4 linked regions of the Callithrix jacchus genome follow. The protein of the gene in region 1 purifies or fractionates together with the protein of each later gene. This does not show direct contact. Links are inferred from orthologs where the notes say so. Each region holds a gene or a part of one and is shown in the gene's direction. Other genes may lie near its edges.

Evidence for each region.
Region 2: the proteins of SLF2 (region 1) and SLF1 purify together in Homo sapiens (co-immunoprecipitation; 3 studies listed by BioGRID and IntAct, with this or other methods). This does not show direct contact. The link is inferred for Callithrix jacchus from reciprocal best matches to the Homo sapiens genes SLF2 and SLF1.
Region 3: the proteins of SLF2 (region 1) and SMC5 purify together in Homo sapiens (affinity purification with mass spectrometry; 3 studies listed by BioGRID and IntAct, with this or other methods). This does not show direct contact. The link is inferred for Callithrix jacchus from reciprocal best matches to the Homo sapiens genes SLF2 and SMC5.
Region 4: the proteins of SLF2 (region 1) and RAD18 purify together in Homo sapiens (affinity purification with mass spectrometry; 3 studies listed by BioGRID and IntAct, with this or other methods). This does not show direct contact. The link is inferred for Callithrix jacchus from reciprocal best matches to the Homo sapiens genes SLF2 and RAD18.

The regions. Positions count from the first base shown.
Region 1 is NC_133513.1:93,831,500-93,835,904, forward strand, and holds part of SLF2 (SMC5-SMC6 complex localization factor protein 2), read left to right. Parts: intron 1-405; coding exon 406-449; intron 450-981; coding exon 982-1,718; intron 1,719-2,777; coding exon 2,778-2,835; intron 2,836-4,405. UniProt on the Homo sapiens protein: Plays a role in the DNA damage response (DDR) pathway by regulating postreplication repair of UV-damaged DNA and genomic stability maintenance.
Region 2 is NC_133503.1:116,037,159-116,042,062, reverse strand, and holds the start of SLF1 (SMC5-SMC6 complex localization factor protein 1), read left to right. Parts: upstream 1-1,818; 5' UTR 1,819-1,899; intron 1,900-2,080; exon of another isoform or gene 2,081-2,191; intron 2,192-2,251; exon of another isoform or gene 2,252-2,349; intron 2,350-4,904. UniProt on the Homo sapiens protein: Plays a role in the DNA damage response (DDR) pathway by regulating postreplication repair of UV-damaged DNA and genomic stability maintenance.
Region 3 is NC_133502.1:94,614,857-94,619,856, reverse strand, and holds the start of SMC5 (structural maintenance of chromosomes protein 5), read left to right. Parts: upstream 1-1,914; 5' UTR 1,915-2,025; coding exon 2,026-2,210; intron 2,211-5,000. UniProt on the Homo sapiens protein: Core component of the SMC5-SMC6 complex, a complex involved in repair of DNA double-strand breaks by homologous recombination.
Region 4 is NC_133516.1:66,167,606-66,172,585, reverse strand, and holds the start of RAD18 (E3 ubiquitin-protein ligase RAD18), read left to right. Parts: upstream 1-1,894; 5' UTR 1,895-1,981; coding exon 1,982-2,032; intron 2,033-4,980. UniProt on the Homo sapiens protein: E3 ubiquitin-protein ligase involved in postreplication repair of UV-damaged DNA. Postreplication repair functions in gap-filling of a daughter strand on replication of damaged DNA.

The DNA.
Region 1 (4,405 bases):
TACTAAGTAGTTATTTTGTATGAATGTCTGGAGAGAACAAGTAGGTTCAAATGCTTATACCCAAGATGTTGCATTCTACCATGTAGCAGTGAGCATTTCAGTCCTAAGAAGCACTCTGTACTAATTCCTTGGGTCTACATGCCTGTCTTATCTATTTGAGAACTATAAATAATATAAACTTCAGTTGTATTTTTATAATGAACTCCTATAGGAAGTGATGCGTTATATTTTCAGTTTTTTAAATGAACAGCTTAGCAAAGCATTATTATCATTGTCAAAACTTTATTTTAAACTGAATAGTGAAATCCAGCCTTCATTTTATAAATCTAACTTTCTCCATTTAATCTGAATTATGGAGGTTTTAATATTTGCTTATATGATGCTATATTATGCTTTTATTTTCAGGAAGCAGTCAATTATAGATTTCTTCAAACCAGCTTCAAAACAAGGTATGTACACTATTGGTACAATTTTTGTAGGCTATTTCGGGGGTGAGGAGTGAGACAGATTCAACTTTAAAACCTACTGTAAGCTATTTTAGTAAATGTAGTGTTCAAAATTGAAAATACGAAGATACAGTTGTTTTTTTTTTTTACAAGGATAAGCAAGTTCTAAATATGAGGGAAGTCTTTTTGCTGTTACGTTTTCATATGTTTAAAATATTACTCTAGTCAAAAATTTAATGTTCTTAACGTGTACTGTTTTCACTCTCTAATACAGTAATTTATAGAGCCATAGGGAGGCTATATGTACCAAAAGAGAGCTTTATGAAAGTAAGGCTTTTAGCAAATAAATTCTGTCTTAATTTCTCTTATATCCCCCAATAAAGTGTGTATCATTATCCAAGTTATTGGCTTGAAAATTTTTGTGGTAACATTGGTGTAGTTTAATTTAGTATATTAAAATTAATAATTGAGATAAATGTTAAATATTTTATTTTTAGTAACATGCAATTTGTATGTGTTTTAATTGGCTATTTAGACAGACACATGTTGGATTCACCACAAAAATCAAACATCAAATATGGAGGAAGTAGATTGTCCATCACTGGGACAGAGCAGTTTGAAAGGAAACTATCCTCACCAAAAAAATCTAAACCCAAAAGGGTGGCACCAGAAAAGAGCCCTATTATCGAAGCTTTCATGAAAGGTGGTGTTAAAGAGCGCCATAAAGATCATGGTGTACGTGAGTCACGTCGGCCTTGTGTGTCACTAGCCTCCAAATATTTAGCCAAAGGAGCAAATATCTATGTTCCTTCTTCATATTGCTTGCCAAAGGAGATGAAGTCACTAAAGAAAAAACATCGATCCCCAGAGAGAAGGAAATCACTATTCATTCATGAAAATAGGGAGAAGAATGATAGAGATCGAGGCAAAACCAATGCAGACTCCAAAAAGCAGACCACAGTGGCAGAAGCTGACATCTTCAAGAACAGCTCCAGAAGTCTCAGCAGCAGGAGCAGCCTGTCCAGGCACCACCCGGGAGAAAGCCCATTGGGAGCTAAATTCCAGTTGTCACTAGCTTCTTACTGCAGAGAACGAGAACTAAAGAAGTTGAGAAAGGAGCAAATGGAGCAGAGAATCAACTCTGAAAATTCTTTCTCAGAAACAAGCAATCTTTCCTTTAAATCTTCTAGTATAGAAAGAAAATACAAACCAAGGCAGGAACAAAGTAAACAGAATGACGTCATACCTAGAAAGACAAATCTTTCAAATGTGGTATGTGTAATAATGATTGAATTAGCATTGCTACTGCTATATCATATTTAGAATACTAAATTTTAAAATATTTAAGAGTTGTTACATCACACTGATGTCTTTCCTTAAGCAAATACTTATGCACAGTTTGTGTAGAAGCTGGTTTCACTAGGTTTCCTCCATGCCCTTCACTGAATTCAGTAAAGCAGTGTTTCTTATCCTTAGTTTTTTCAGACCAAGAGCGAAGATCTTTTTTAGTCAGAAAAGTAAACACTTTTTTTAAAGGCAAGTATAGTCTTATTTATGTGTAGACAGTCTTGCCCTGTCACTCATGCTGGAGTGCTGTGGCAAGATCATGTCTCATTGCAGTCTCAAACTCCTGGGCTCAAATGATGCTTTTACCTCAGCTTCCCAAATAGCTGAGACTACAGGCATATGCCACCATATTTGACTAATATTTTTATTTTTTGTAGAGACAGGGTTTTCCTATATTGCCCAGGCTGTTCTTGAACTCCTGGCTGCAAGCAATCCTCCTGCTTCCTGCACTTTGGGAGGCCGAGGTGGAAGGATTGCTTGAGCTCAGGAGTTTGAGATAGCCAGAGCAACATAGCGAGACCTCGGCTCTACTAAAGGTTAAAAAAAAAAAACAACAGTTCTGGTGGCATGCACCTGTTGTCCTAGCTACTTAGGAGGCTCACTTAGGCCCGGGAGAAGGTTGCAGTGAGCTTGATCACACCATTGTACTCCAGCCCGGGTGACAGAGTGAGACCCTGTCTCAAAAATACAGTGTTCTAATATAATATTAGTCTTGCGTTATTGATGTAAACATGTAAATTAGCATTATAAAAACTGAGTTCATTTTTATGATATTTTTACATTTTTATGATATAAATGCCCTTAATTTTTATGATAAAAACCTTAAGATCTTTAAATGTTTTATTATAGACACTAGGCTTTACCTCCAAATATGGGTCCTTGCTTTATTCAATCTAGAAATCTGTGTTTAAATGTTAGGAAGAATGCCTTCACATTCTTTACTGTCCCCAACACTTAATTAATTTTATCTCATTTTGCTCATAGGAAAATGGACATCTCTCAAGAAAAAGATCCTCTTCTGATTCATGGGAACCTACTTCAGGTAGAACCAAAATTAAATTTCTGAATTTCTAAATAAATTTTCATCTTAATGGCTTTTTAAAAGAAATTTGTTTAAATATGCAGTTCCCTTCTTGGGGATGAATTCAGTCTCATATTAATTAAGAGTTTGGTAAATTATATTTAAGAAGAATGGTCCCTGAATATAGTGCTTATAATTTGGGTTTGTTTTTGTGGCAGGGTCTCACTCTGTCACCCAGGCTGGGATGCAGGGGCGTGATCACGACTCACTGTAATCCTTAACCTGGTGGGTTCAAGTGATTGTCCCACCTCAGCTTCCTGAGTAGCTGGGACTACAGATGTGGGCCACCATGCCTGGATAGTTTCTTGTATTTTTGTAGAGATGAGGTTTTGCCGTGTTGCTCAGGCTGGTCTCAAACTCCTGGGCTCATGCGATTCTCCTGTCTCAGCCTCCTAAAGTACTGGGATTACAGGTATGAGCCACCACACCTGCCCTAATATGTATAATTTGTTATCTGTCTTGAATCTTCTCTCTGCCTTCTTCAAGAGTTCCTAACAGTATGTTTCTCATACTGTTGTCTCTTTCTGAATTCTTGGCTACATCAAGAAACGTAATATTATAATCTTGGAGTTATAGACTGAGGTCTTGGTATTATCTTGAGGATGCTTTGTGTAAGGTTGAAACTGTTACCATGATCCAAAGCAGTGTTTTCTAATAATTTCAAAAACAGGGATCCCTTTTTAATATTAAATTTCAGGGATGTCTACATGACATTAGTTTGTACTTTTATCATCTATTGATTGAAAAAAAAATAAAATAACAAACCTACTGTTAATTCAGTACATTTTATTTTTTTTACTAGAAAATAGAATATTAAAAAATCAAACTGCAGAAGTTTACAAGAAACGAAAGGTGTCTACAACTAACAACAGTTAATAGTCTAGTGTATCGGATTTTTTTCCTGATATGACTATACATTTTGAAAAACAGACAAATTCTCACATTCAGCAAAATACACTGGACATGATAATAATAGCTGACTTTTATTAAGTACTTAGAGTGTGCTATGCCGTTTTATGTGCTTTTAATTCATTTGATTCTCATAACTTTATACAGTGGTTTACTTTTAGAAATGGAAGTACAGAGAGACAGTTCTAACTCCTTCAGGTTTCATCTACTACTTTATTTTATTTATATTTTAGAGGTGCATTGCATTTTGATTAAGCACTCTCGATTAGTAAAATCAATTTTGAGCCAAGACTAAAGCCATATTTTACGATCATAGAAGGAACTTATAGGATATAGGAGTTAATCTAAAATTGTATTTGTTTTTCATTTATTTAATTTTTATAATGTTGCTGATTTTATGGCCAAATTTTGGTGAATTTTGACATTATTGTGCAAGAACAGGAATTTCTCAGCCAGGAGATTGCTTCTGCACTCACTGCCTTGTACATTTGTAATACTAAATACATGATCACTTTGCACCAAAGCTAATATAAGAGCAAAATATTACTTTGTATAAGGGGCTGCTTCTGCTGGTGTGGCTGTCACATTATTCCTTTGCTTTTTTCTCTGATTTAAGATTTTA
Region 2 (4,904 bases), on another chromosome or scaffold:
GCATATTCCCTGAAACTATGTGATAATCCCTATCTGTCTGAGGGTTACATGAGTGAAACAGAACAGTTTTGCTAATAATAAATAATTCCTTATAAATGATTACAAAGTTCAATTTTATAAATTTGTGCTCATTTGCTCATTCTCTCTCCCTAAACACACACACACACACACACATAGATACATGTATACAAATGTGTGTGTGTGTGAAAACCTGCCTAAAAAGATAGCTGATACTCTGGACTCAGAGTCACCAATATGCTGATGATCTCTAAATCTTCTGTATTTGCCCCAAGTGTTATGTCAATGTACAGTATAGGCATGTGTTTGAATTAGGATAATAAAACTGGCCAAGAATAAAGGCAGTAAAGAAACTGCATTATTCACGTGTTAAAATTACCTCACGGTGATGAACACATCCAGTAAGTCCCTTTATCCTCAAGTTTTGCTATCCACTTGGTTTGTAAATGTGACATACTATCTATCCAAATTCACCTGCAAGTGAAAATGATACTGTTTTGTTTACTCATAAAGGTATAGAGCACAGTAAAGAGACAAAATTTAGAGTCAGGTAGTCTAGATTCAAGTTTTAATTGTGCTATTTAATTATATAATTTGTGGAAAATCACCAACCTCTTTGAGTCTGTTTGCAAAATAGAAATAACACAATTTTTGTGATTTTCTTTATTAAGCATTAAATAAAAGAATAAATGTAAAGTGCCTGGCAGATAATATCTACTTGGGGTAAGTATTAATGATTGGCTACATTCAAGAGCAATTAATAGAGATAAAGCACTGCCTCTAAAAACTAGTTGCTGTGCAGAAATAACACATAATCGCCCTGAAAAAATTTTTCATACTTTAAACTGGAGAAATAAAGCAAGCACACAAGATTCAACAAAATGTCAAAATTGGAATCAATGGGGGAGATTATAAGTTTGTTGAATTATTAACCAATAAGGTTAGAAAATCAATGTGCTGTCCTAAAAATGGTTGCATTATTTTCAAAAGGTAAGAAGGCACTGGCCTGATGTAACAGGGGCCTTGAATTAAACATATTGCATTTTTCTTTATGAGTATGCTCTCATAAAGAAAATGTTTTTATGGGTATGGGGAGCATACCCATAAAGAAAAATGCAATAGTACCTACAACTCTCTTGGGAACTGACTGTTTAAAAAAAAAATTAATTAGCTGCCTTTTATGGGGGTTGGTGGGAGGTAATTATTTAAATACAAGGTGGCAGGTGAAAACTACTTACCTAAGAAACTGCATTACTTAAGAGAAGTCGCCAAGGTTCACTACATCACAACTTTCAAATCTTAAATGATCACCTTTCCTCCCTTTGTCGGAAGCAATTTCTCTTTACAACTATTCTGGCTACCTCAGACCTCCATCTAAAATTCTCCCGAATCCTTCATTATTGACAAAGCCTGGAGCAGAGCGCAAGCATTTCTTTCTGAAAGCACACCTACTTACTGATCACTGCCATCCAAAAATGCATCTAATGTCCAAGCATGAAATGACAAGCTTGTTTTCTCGTGTCTCAGCCAGGAAACAAAGACCGTTCTTCTCATCCAATTCAAACGGCAGGGGGAACCTTCAATTAATTTTAAAGCAGGAAGGAACCTCCCCATCTCACTTCCAAATGTTTGTAAAAGATGTCTTCTTCAGCCAACCGCCTGCCTCCCAGGCATGGCAACCCAGAACTACGGAAACAGTACTGAGGAATCGAGAGTGGCCAAACGCTGCCAATGGGAGATAGGACACTCGTTGATCATTGGCAGAGAAACTCGGCATCACGCCGAGTCACCATATACGGTGTCTTCGGCCTCGCCCAGGGACACTTGGGGACTCGAGGTCGAGTTCCAAGTCGGAGACAGGTTTTGCGAGTGGAGAAGACGGTAAGCCGGGATCCCAAGGCCTTCTCCAGCAGCGCAGGGTGTCAAACGCCACGGGGTTGGATGGGGACTCCTTCTGGTTCAACCCTCGCCCACTCACTTCTGGGGCTGGCCAAAATGCTGCAGATAGCCCTGGCCAGCCATTAATATCAAGCCCAGGAGGCAACCCAGTAAAATCACTTACCAGTCTTTTACCTCCAGTGGTGATCTAGCGGGAGCCTGACCCGTTGGCCGGACTCAAGCCCGGCAACAGCTATGACACCCTGGCGACGGCTCCAGAGCGTCACTGACAACCACCCGGAAATGATACTGTCGCTTCCGGGGCTGCCTAGCGCGCGGCGGGAAATTATTTCCCAGAGCCCGGATTAGTGAAGCAGTTGAGTGCTGCAGCGGCAGTCGTCGCTCTTGCAGTCGCCACCCGAGGAAGGCATCCCACACACTTCGGCCGGGAAGGTAAAGGGGCTCAGCTTGGAAGACACAGTGTATTCTGTCTCTGTTGGGATGTTTCTTCCCCGATCTGTACCCTCTAAGTATCTTCCCTCCGGCTCTGAGGCTGGGAAGGTTGCGGCTGAGGTGAGCGGCGGCGGTGTCTGGCTCTTGCCACCTGCAGCTGTTTTTTCCCGCCCTCCCGACTTCGCCCTTGGCGCTGGAATTGGTGTGATGGGCTGCTGCTGCAGACCCCGCGACGCTCGCCTCGGCGGGGACCGGCACCGAGTGCCTCTCTGCAGTACTGGGCTGAGCCGCTTCCCCCGCTGCTGCTTGCGCAGCTCTGCAGCTAGGTCCGCCGCTTGGAAGGCACTAGGCCCCCCGCGTCTCTCGTTTCCATAGAACCGATGGGGACGCCTCACCCAGATCCCAGAGTTTTGGCTGCTTTCCATAACTTTGCGTCTTCGAAGGTGGCTGGGTTCCCCCCGGCCCACCGTCCTGTGACGAAGAAAATTGTGTTATTCTTTCCTCTCTAGTAGAATTTTTTTTTGACATACCCAAACGGCAGTCATCCTATCTCTGACTGCTATAGGCCTTTAAACACATATACACATACACGTTTCCCTGGCGGGAGGGTCTGTGTTTCTGGGGATTCTATTTCAGCTGCTTGAAGGCTGGAAACAAGACTAAGTGGTTATTTTAAGATTTCTTCCACTTCCAAAGCCTCAGATTAAATATTGACAAAAAAAAAAAAAAATTGATCTGTCTTGGGTACTTAATACCATTATTTGACTCAGGTGTTACATGGAGCTTGATTTTGGACTGGGCAGCCTTTTTGACGAATTACTCTTATTAAAGAGAAAAATGTGTTGTTGAGACGTTGGGAATGAACAACTGAACTGAATTTACAATTTATATGTGACAGACAATTCACCTGTTGGACTTTTTGGTTTATGTTATTCCGTTGTGCCTCAATTCGTGGAAGTATCTGTGGATGTGCAAGATGTTCTCATTGTTGGAAAGTTTGATTACGTATATTGCAGGTGTTCAATATGTAAGTTGCTAGTTTGAAGTGGATTTATATATAAGGGAGTAAATTTCATTCATTCATTCATTCATTCATTTTGTTTTGTTAGTTTGTTTTGAGACAGAGCCTTGCTCTGTCGCCCGGGCTGGAGTGCAGTGATGCGATTTTGGCTCACTGCAACCTCCGCCTCCCAGGTTTAAGCAATTCTCCTATCTCAGCCTCCCAAGTAGCTGAGATTACAGGTGCGCACCACCGCGCGCAGCTGTTTGTATTTTAAATAGAGATGTTGTTTCATCATGTTGACCAGGCTGGTCTCGAACTCCTGACCTCAAGTGATTTCGCCCTACTCGACCTCCCAAAGTGCTGAGATTACAGGTGTAAGCCACCAGGCCCGGCCAAATTTCATTATTTCTAAGTTTACTCAGTATTCTTAATTTAAAGGAACTAGGATGTTCAAATACTTGAATGTTTAAGTCAATTTTGTTGTAAAGACAGCTAACCTTCAGTACTGCAAATAAACCCCTATTCTGTTTTCTATATTCATATTTTATTACGCATTATTGATTAAATTGAATTATATGACGTAACATTTTCTTCCCTAAAGCATATAGCACGAGAAAGTCATTGAAATCACCGTCAAATGTGGTTACTCTTCATAATCAAAATTCAGAACTCTTAATATTTCATAATACGCATCCAAAATTTACAATGTTGTTCAAAAACTTTGCTTTTTGGGAAACCAATAGTATAGCTTTATTAATTAGTATTTTCCTTATTATATGTATCTTGATTATATTATTCTAAAGTAGGGTTTTCACCATTTAAAGAAAACTTTTTTTTTTTTTTTTGAGACGGAGTTTCGCTCTTGTTGCCCAGGCTGGAGTGCATATGGCACCATCTCGGCTCACCAACCACAACCTTTGCCTCCCAGGTTTAAGTGATTTTCCTGCCTCAGCCAACCGTGTAGCTAGGATTACAGGCATGCACCACCACGCCTGGCTAATTTTGTATTTTTAGTAAAGACTGGGTTTCTCCATGTTGGTCAGGTGGTCTCCCGACCCCAGGTGATCCACCTACCTCAGCCTCCCAAAGTGCTGGGATTACAGGTCTGAGCCACTGCGCCCAGCCTAAAGAAAACATTTTTATTTTATTTTACTTTAATTTATTTATTTATTGAGAAAGGAGTCTTGCTCTGTCACCCAGGCTGGAGTGTAGTGGCCTGATCTCAGCTCACTGCAGCCTCTGCCTCCTGGTTCAAGCGATTCTCCTGCCTCAGCCTCTGGAGTAGCTGGGACTGCAGGTGCCCGCCTGTTTTTTGTATTTTTAGTAGACTGGATTTCACCATATTGGCCACGCTGTCTCAAACTCCTGACCTTGTGATCCACCTCGGCCTCCCAGTGTGCTGGGGTTACAGATATGAACCACCACACCCAGCCAGGAAAACATTTTTAAAAAGTAAAATAAAAAATCATGTGTAGACATTGAATAATAAACCCTAAACAAAACAAATCCCTCAAAAATATAACTAAAATGAAACATCATCTGTTACTCTTGT
Region 3 (5,000 bases), on another chromosome or scaffold:
CCTGGTCAACATGGTGAAACCCCGTCTCTACTAAAAATAGAAAAAATTAGCTGGGCATGGTGGCGCATGCCTGTAATCCCAGCTACTCAGGAGGCTGAGGCAGGAGAATTGCCTGAACCCAGGAGGCGGAGGTTGCAGTGAGCCGAGATCGCACCATTGCACTCCAGCCTGGGTAACAAGAGCGAAACTCCATCTCAAAAAAAACAAAAAACAAAAAACAAAAAAAAACTATGCAATGACTTCCCATTGCTTTAAAAATAAAATTCAGACTTTCTCACGATGGACAAGGTTCTGCGATGCAACCTTTGTTCACTGCTCTGCAGCCAAATTGAGCTTCCCACCTCAGAGCTTTTGTCCTCACTGGAATATTCCAGCAAAATTCTTTTGCCTAGGATGCTCTTTTCTCAGATCTCACAGTTTCTTCTTGTCCTTCAAGCAGAAACATCACCACCTCTGACAGGCCTTCCGTACCTCCCACCGGTCAGGTTCATTTTGGTTTCTTCCTAACACGTATCATAGTCTTAAATTATCCTGATCATTTGTTGTGTCGACCTTAAGTAGTGGAATTCAGAATGTCATTAAGTGTAGCATTTATTCTAATGAAAAGCTTGAGGACAGCCACCTGGAAACACTGCCGCCAAACAAACAGGGTCAATGTTCCAAGGTGAAGTTAAGGTTTCATTTTCATAGGCAGAGACAAAGAAGGTTCAGCAGGAGTACATTTTCCATACAAGACCAGTGCATAAATTACAAAGATTAGATTAGTTATATATAGCTACATTCCAAGGAATATAGCTATATTAATATTATAACTATATTAATTTATGAAGAAGGGGTCTTTGTCTCTGGTCTTCCTATTTACAGGAAAAAACAAGGAAACAGTTGCAGCTGTTCGTCATGGGACACAGACCCCATAGCCACATTCTACTCAAGGCTCAGAATAATTTAAAGTTCTAACAGCTTTAAGTTTGAATTATTTAATTTCACAGTTCACTTGTTGATTCACTTGTTCTTTTCCTCTCTCCCCGACTAGAAATTAAGCTCCCAGGGATGCAACCTCGGCAGGCTCCTAAACTGCCACAGCTCCAGTTTCTAGTAGATTAGACATTCATTGTTGGTTGAATGAAGGAAGATCTATGCAGGCCTCCGTGCGCCTCCTCTTTAATGAGGGGGCTCACTAGATGAAGGTGAGATGAATGTGAGCAGACGGAAGCAGAACCACTCTCTTAATGAAGGTAGCAGGGATTTCTAGAAACCTCGGGGGGCGGGGGGAGTTAAACGAGAGAATTAGGAGGCCGGGGTAAGAGAAGCAATGAGGGTGATCTGTGTAGTGTAGTCTTTTCACGAGTTTGAGAACGCCTAGAAAGATGCCTCAACGAAGCGTCGGGCACAGAGCCATTTGGGAGGGTTTCTTTTTCGGGTTTTTGAGAAGGGGATCTGACTTGAAGCAACGGGGAAGTCGAAGAGCCAAGGACGGGCATGCACGGGAGCTCTCCGGCGGACCCCTGGAAGGGGTGGGAGCAAGCAGAGCCTTACTTCTCCCCCGCCTTGGCGGCACTGGGCGCCCCAGGTGCCACCCTCAGCAGCCTCCCGCCGCCACCTCCCACCACACATGACTGAGGCTCGGGAAGCAAAAAAATGGCTTTCAGAATACTAAATGCAATTACTTCTTTTCCTGAGTTAAAAAAAAAAAAAAAAAGAACTGAAAAAATGCCAAAATGTACAGATTAGAAAGTCCTGTTGTCACATCCCCCCAGGCCTTCATCTAGTCCCGCCAGCGTCTCCGCCCTCACTCTGGGCCTGGTATTCAGCCGCAGGGCGCTGGAAGAGTGTTGGCGGGCCTGCTGACGCCTCCGGACCTGAACTGCGCAGGCGCGGCGAGGCACGGGATCGCGGGCGCGAGCGCGCGGGAGCAGTTCGCGGCAGTTCGCGCGGGAGCCGGGCGCTGGGGCGCTTGGGCTCTTGGGCGCGTGGGCTGCTGGACGGTGGGAAGGGAAGCCGCTGCGGGGCGCAGGGGAAGCCAGAATGGCGACTCCGAGCAGAAAGACGTCCACCGCAAGCCCCCAGGCTTCCAAGAGAGCTCTCCCAAGAGACCCTTCGTCAGAGGTCCCGAGCAAGAGGAAGAATTCCGCCCCGCAGTTGCCGCTGCTGCAGTCGTCCAGGCCCTTCGTGGAAGGCTCTATCGTCCGCATCTCGATGGAGAACTTCCTGTGAGTGTCCTGGAGGCCCCGCCGGGGCTGTGGAGGCGTGGGGGCCCGGGGGCGCCGGCTGCGCGGGGCGGTGTGTGTGTGTGTGTGTGTGTGTGTGTACCTGGCTTGTGGGTCTGGCTATGAATTCGTGCCGGGGTTTCCTTAAGGATTTTTCTATGTATCCTGTGGAGATTGACGTGTATGGTGTAGGATATGTGTGCCTTGTGTGATGTGGTTTTTAAATTTAGTCCGCTAACGTTTCCAAGGGCGTCATGTAGCAGGTAGTGGTTGTACTAGGGAGTAGGTCTCTCCCCGCTGGGAGTCGCGGTCCATAGGGTCACACTGGTCTGGAATTCACAAAAGTATTGGTCCCTGGAACTTAAGAGGAGGCACAGTTAATTCGGAGTAATGGTGATGCTGTGGCAGATTCTCAGAGTAGGCATTTGCCAGAGAGGAGGAGATAAGACGGTAAAGGTTGTTCAGGATGGGAGGTTAGAGTGTACACAAAAATTAAACTTTACTGGCAATTGTTGGACCTCGCTACAAACAAACCCTTGACACCCTCTAAATCCAACTTTCGTCCCTGGTTCCTCCCTCTCCCCTTCAGAAAACGAGTTATAACTTTAGAATTTAGTATATTTAAAATATGTCATGTATTTGTCTAGCACCTCACAGTTCATTTGTTCAAGGTCGTCTTGTTTTTGAGACGGAGTGTCGCTGTATCCCCCAGGCTGGACTGCAGTGGCGCTGTCTCGGCTCACTGCAACTTCGCCTTCTGATTTCAAGTGATTCTCCTGCCTCAGCCTCCCGAGTAGCTGGGACTAAAAGCGCGCGCCACCACGCCCGGCTAATTTTTTTGTTTTTAGTAGACACGGGCTTTCACCATGTTGGCCAGGCAGGTCTGGAACTCCTGACCTCAGGTGATCTGCCCGCCTCTGCCTCCCGAAAGCGTGAGCCAACACGTCCGGCTGAAAGTCTTTTTTAAGCTTGCACACAGTGGAATAAATATAACAGAATTGAAATAACAATACCACTTTTTTTTTTCAAGCGCCTGTTGTGTGCCAGGTACAGAACTAGGTGCTTTATTTACACAGTGCACTCATTCTTTCTTCATAACAACTGTATCTTGATAATTTCCATTGCTGAAAGAAGCTCAATAGGTTATTTTGCCCAGTTTTATAACAACATATATATCAGGATCCTTCACAAAGGATGAAGTGGTTAATTTTGTCCACAAGTATGAGAAAGGGCTTTGTAAAGAAGATATGAAAGTCTGTGGTCTTGGTCTGTTGCCCATGCTGGAGCGCAATGGCATGATATGGGCTCAGTGCAGCCTGGGACCTCCCCTTCTCAAGTGATTCTCCTACCCCAGCCTTTCAAGTAACTGGGAGTACAGGCACGTACCACACCTGGCTAATGTTTTTAAAATTTTTTGTAGAGATGAGGTTTCACTATGTTGCTCAGGCTTTTCTTGAACTTCTGGGCTCAAGCAACTCACCTCAGCTTCCCAAAGTGCTGGGATTACAGGCATGAGCCACTGCACCCGCCTAAGAAGACAGAAAAGTCTTAAAAGAAGTGAAGAGTATTGAAGACAGAAGGAACTTTCTGAAATAGTTTGGTATATTTAGAAAGTGTCAGGTATTTTAGTATGGCAAAAATATAGGATGTGAGTGAGTATGTGGACAGAGGGTAGGCAACCATTGAGGAGCCTGTACATTTACTATGCTAAGAAGTTCCAGCATCATCCTGTAGGCAGCCACGGTGTGTTTTCAACAGGGAATGACATGTGTTTTATATTAATCTGGAAGCACTGTGAAGGATGTTTAGAAAGTGTGCAAGATTAGAGGCAAGAAGACTTACAGTATGAAGGCCAGAGATAATCAGAGCGTAAATGAATGAGATTTGACAGGATCCAGCTACAGAATAATTGTGAGGCAGGGAAAGGAAGGAATGCAGTGTTTTTCCCAAGTCTCTGCCTTAGCTTATTGGTCAGCTGCTATTCAGAAGAGGGAGTAGTTTGAGGAGAATAATAATAAATGCCTGTTAGATACTGTGGCTTTGGGGTACAAAGAGAGATGTTCTATAGGCAGTTTCCTTTGGGGCATCTAAGAGGGATGTTGTGTGGATAGAATGTGAGAGTCTGGAGATTAGAGGAAAAAGTGAACAGGTGAAAGATTTGGAAGTCATGCATACCGGTGATTGATGAAGTTGCAGAACTGGTTATGATTGCCCATTAGGAATTGTAAATTGAAGGGCTAGAAGATCATGTACAGAGCCTTGGGAGAATGCCTACTTTTAAGGGGGAGCTGAAGAAGAACTCAAAGTGAGAAGGAACTATTCAGGAAAGTTTAGATGAAAACATTAGGAGACAATTATCAAAGAAGCCAAGGAAAAAAGATTTCAAAAATAACACCTGCTACACTGAAGTCAAATAATGGAACTGAAAAGAGCCCACTGCATTTAGCAATTGGGAAATCTTTGACCCTTTAATGAAGCGCAGTGGAAGCAGAAAACTTTGCAGGTCATAGAAGAATGAATGAGGGTGAGAAAGTAAAACTTGGATGCAAAGAGAAGAAAGAAAAGATAGCTGGAAGTGCAGAGGCAGGTGAGATATTGTTTATTTTAATGAGTGGACTTGGAGTTTTAGGCATGAGGTAGAGAAAAGTAGGCTTAGAGAATTAGCAAGGAAATAGGGAGGAGTAGTCAGAGAATTTAAATAGCCTGGAAGAGAGTAGTGACTGAACCAAGTCAAATGGAGTTGGGCATGGAGGAAGAGACTTGGAGGCTGAAGGAATAACACATGCAAAGGCT
Region 4 (4,980 bases), on another chromosome or scaffold:
CCACGGACCTGGTCTTAGATGCTTTTCCCTTATCTCTCCAAGACCCTACTGCCCCTGCATCCAGAACTATCCAACCTCTTCCAGCTCAGCCTGGCATGCATTTGAATGCCGTTCTATGATTGCCTGATACAAAGCATAAGGGTGGGGGTTGGCACCATAAACCTCCATTCCTCATCTTCCTTTTGGGAGTCCCACTAGGTCCAACAACCTGAGATTCTCAGACCTGGCTCTGCCCCTTGACTTGGTTTACTTAACTGTTTCTCAAAAAATTATCAGTGGGTGATTTCTTCTGGTTTTAGGTTAAAAGACCTAGGTTCCATCCTGGATAATGCCACTGACAAACTGTGGTTTATATGAATTCCTTTACCTCTCTAAGACTTAGTTCTCATGATGAAGGCCTTATGAGAATATTCTGTTGTGGTCAATATGGACTCTCAAGCCAGACTGAGTTCAAATCTTTCATCTTCCACTACCAGCAGGGTGCCTTGTGAATAAGTCAAATAAGTGCATATGTGTAAAAAACTTAGAATGGTGTTTTGCATACACGTGCCTAATAAATGCCAGCTACTACTGTAATGGATACTAAAGTCCTTTCTCTTTTTTTTGAGACGGAGTTTCGCTCTTCTTACCCAGGCTGGAGTGCAATGGCGCGATCTTGGCTCACTGCAGCCTCCGCCTCCTGGGTTCAGGCAATTCTCCTGCCTCAGCCTCCTGAGTAGCTGGGATTACAGGCACGCGCCACCATGCCCAGCTGATTTTTTGTATTTTTAGTAGAGACGGGGTTTCACCATGTTGACCAGGATGGTCTTGATCTCTTGACCTTGTGATCCACCCGCCTCAGCCTCCAAAGTCTAAAGTCCTTTCTCTAAATGCTATTAGTATTAATATTACTGCCCAGTAAGTATTTGGGTGCAAGCTGGGAAAAATCAATTGAATACAGCTTTGGCTAAGAGACTAGAGGGTTCTTATGAAGAGAACTCAGAGGAGTGAAGTCTTAAGCTTTCTGAGCCTCAGTGTCCTCATTTGTAAGATGGCCATAACAGTCTAATCTCTGCCTGCTTCCCAAGAAAGCTCAAGTGCCTGGCCCGTTGTAAGCATTCAGAAAATATTTGTGAAATGAATCAGTGCATGGACCACGTGGGGCGTGTTCTTCATCTTAAGCCTCAATGGGCTCCAAAATGTCCCTTCCTAGATTCTACAAAAAGAGTGTTTCCAACCTACTGAATCAAAACAGAGGTTTCAACTGTGTGAGAATCCACACATTGCAAGGCATTTTCAGATAGCTGGTTTCTAGTTTTTATTGTGGGATATTCGGATTTTGCCATGAGCCTATATGGATTCCGAAATGTCCCTTCCCAGATTCTTGCTAACTTGGTGGGAATATCAAGGGCAAGGATTCAAGGGTGGGGATATTGCTAACTTGATTTAGCAGAGTTCTTTGCTAAAACTGGATTTTATCACGAAGTACACAGATTGGCCTAGGAGAAGGTTCAGGAGCCTGACTAAAGTTTGGTCAAGCCAAGAATCTTTGCCAATTTGCATAGGAAATATCTGGAAGGCTATATGCCGAAGTTAATAGTGCTTCTCTCTGAAGAAAAACTGTACATTAAAATTTTAATATGATTAAAAGGAAGAGCTCCTATTTAAACTCCAGAGGTCCTGTTTCGAATCTGACTCGAAACTCTATTCAGCTTTTCCGGAGTAGTTTCCGCTTGTGTAAACTGACAATGATAACACCTACCTCCCAGTGTTGTAATATGGGAGAGATATTACACAGTAGCGGACATAGCCTAGCGCAGGCGCAGTACAAGCACCATCAGCAGCGCCCCGCCCACATCCTACTACAATTTCCGGCAGGCTCCGCGCCCGCCTCTGGCGCGTCGCGGGTTGTGACGTAATGCGATAGCGCGGGGAATTTCGAGTGGTATTGGAGCGCCGGAGGCTAGTTGAGTGGTAGACCCCAGCATCTTCAGGAGCGACCATGGACTCCCTAACCGAGCCTCGGTGGCCGCCGGGCCTGGCAGTTATGAAGGTGAGTGCTTCGGGGAGGTTGGGGGCTCCCGGGTGCCTGCGGGGGGCGGTCCCTCCCTTTGAGGAGGATGTCCTCGCCTTGAGGAGAAAAAATGAGGCGCGAGAGTCGCACTGGGCCATAGTACCCGGCTCTGCTCTGTCACTAGCCGACCGCGTGGCTCTGGGTCTCAGTTTACTCCTTTGATAAGTGACAAGGACAAGCTTGGTGAGCTGAGGTTGACAGTCTAATGGAACCAGATATTCTGCGATCCAATCCGAACAGTAACATGGAGAAAAACAGCTGTTCTAAACAATGACATTGTCAGCTAACCTTCACTGAAAGCTTACTTTGTGTCAAGCACTAAACAGTGACACCGGACATGATTTTGGGTGGACACTTTATCAAGTAACATGTATGTAATCACGTAGCCAAGCAGGTAGTCTCCTTTACAGGCTCTTCTGATTATTCTCAATAAACCTACTGCTGGTTTGTACCGACATACTGCCCCAGCTCCTCCCTCACACGTCCTATCTCTTCTGTAACAATTGCTCATCTCTCTGTCTTTTAAACAAAGATCAAGATTCAGCAGTCATCTTTCATTGCATCGAATTATTTCAGTTAAATAACACTTATTTTTGTAGCCACTTTCTGTTTTGGCAAGGCAACAGTTTCCATTTACGTAGTGGTGGTCCCTGGATTTGCTCAAGAGCAGATGCACATTCCCGTGCTGGCTAAAAGTCAGTTGTTTGGTGTTTCTTTTTGCTCTGTGATTATTTTTGTTTCTGACAGTGGCTAAGATAGCCTTTTTCTCTTCCTCAGTTTTGTAGTCTTGGGGATTATAGTATCTGTCCCACTGGCTCATAAAGTTGACTTTAGAATTAAGTGAAGGCTAAAATAAGTATAAGGCCTTGTTCTTCCTGCTGTCATCCGTGATATTTAGAGGTCTTGGGGACTTGAGATATCTGCATGACGAGAAGCTGACATTGTGAAAGGATCCAGGAAAGCGGTGGTTTCGAAGTTGTGATGGGCTTGGCACCAAGATGCCGTGGAAAAGAGCACAGATTTGAATTCTAGTGGTCCTGGGTGAAATCTGATCTCTGCCTCTTAGCTGTGTGACCTTCAGTTAGTAACATAACCTCTCTGAGCCTGAATTTCTTCAACTATAAATTAGAGACAAAAATAAACAGTTCATAGGGTTGATTAAATAAATGAGTTCATGTGTGTGGGTGCAGATTCTGCAGGCTTATTCATTGTGCTTGATGCGGTGCCTGACAGAAAGTGAGTGCTCAAGTATTATTTGCTGCTTGATTGAAAGTATCTGGAATGTAGTAAGCATTCAATGAATATATTTTATTACTATTATTAGCACTGTGCTAAGTGCTTCTCTCCCCTTTTAATTTGTTGTCATGAAGCTTGATTTGGATAAGGAAAGTAAAAGAACTCTGTAACCTGTAAAGCTCCTGCTTTGTAGATTTAAGCATATTTTACATATTCCCACAATTTCAGTGTTCTTTAGAGGCAGGTTCCATGTCTTCTCTGACTTTGGTATCTCACCACGGCACTGAATATAGAGTTTGATACCACAGAGTGTTCAGTGATTGTTCAACCAGAGAGTTGATTGAGCCCATATTTTTTGCTCACATTAGAATCATAGAATCTTAAGGTTTGGAAACCAGCCTCCTTCATTATTTTAAACTCTTTTATAACATATCTGCCAATTTCTCACCTAATTTTTGCTTGAACTCTTCCAGGGACAAAGAACTATCAGATCCCAGAAGTGGATCTGACTAAAGTTACTTCTAATAGAAGTCTGACTCAGAATGCATGGTTCCTGACTTAGGATCCGTAGAAAGACTTCGGAGTCTCAAGTTATTTGTAGAATTTTCGTATATATGTTTTTCTGAGAATAGAGTCCATAGTTTTCATCTAATTTTCAAAGGGATCTGTAACCCCAAAAACTTGGGTATTTTTGTAAGTATTATGTTTTTCTACCCATTTTCTACTCCCTTTCACTTTCTCTCTCTCTAAACTAAAGACATTTTGGGGTGTCTGCTGACCACTCTCTATTCAGGCATCGTTTTTTGTTTGGTTGGTTGAGGCACATGTGATACGCATATTACAGTCTTGGAGAGACATGACCAGAAATTTGAACCCGAAATAGCTCATCTTATGGAGTGTCAACTTCCACAAATTGTGCTCTGCAGATCTTTCTGAATCATTACTCCACCGAAGAGAATGGCATAGATAAGAAAGAGTGGTATGACAGACTGGTTCCGGCTTCTGGGCCTGCCTCTGATCTTAATTGATCTTTAACATTAACCCTCTAGATTTTTGTGTCTGTGACAGCTTACCATCCACAATAATGGAAGATTTTGGCATTTTATTATTTCCCTGGTTTTATTTTAGCAAAATTGGACTCTTTTTGGCATATTGTAAATGTAATAGGTGTACACAGTAGAAAAAAATTAAAATTCAGAGTAAGATAAAGGTGAAAAAGAAAATCATCTGTAATCCTACCACCCAGAGAACCAGTGTTTAACATTTTACCTTATTTTCCTTCAGTTTTTACGCATTTAAAATTTGGGATCATTGTGGAGTCAACTTCTTGGGTTTGATTCAGCCAACCTAGGAACTCTGAAGGCTTTGTTTTTAAAATTGGGGTACTGATGCTGTGGACTTTATAAGATTGCCATGAAGATTAAACTACAGAGTTGCCATTATTATGTATTATTGGCATATATTTATTTTCTGATTTTTATTTTCCTATGGCATTAAATATTCTTTGAAAGCATGTTTTTTAATGGTTGCATAATATTTCATCATATGGACTGTTGGCAACATTAGTCTTTTTTTTGTATAAATTTTAAAAATTCAGATAATAGGTTCACTTGGTTCAGGATACACATGAAGTGAAAAGTAAAAGTTTCCTTCTTACCGTGTTCCTGGCCCTGATCATTTTTATTATTATC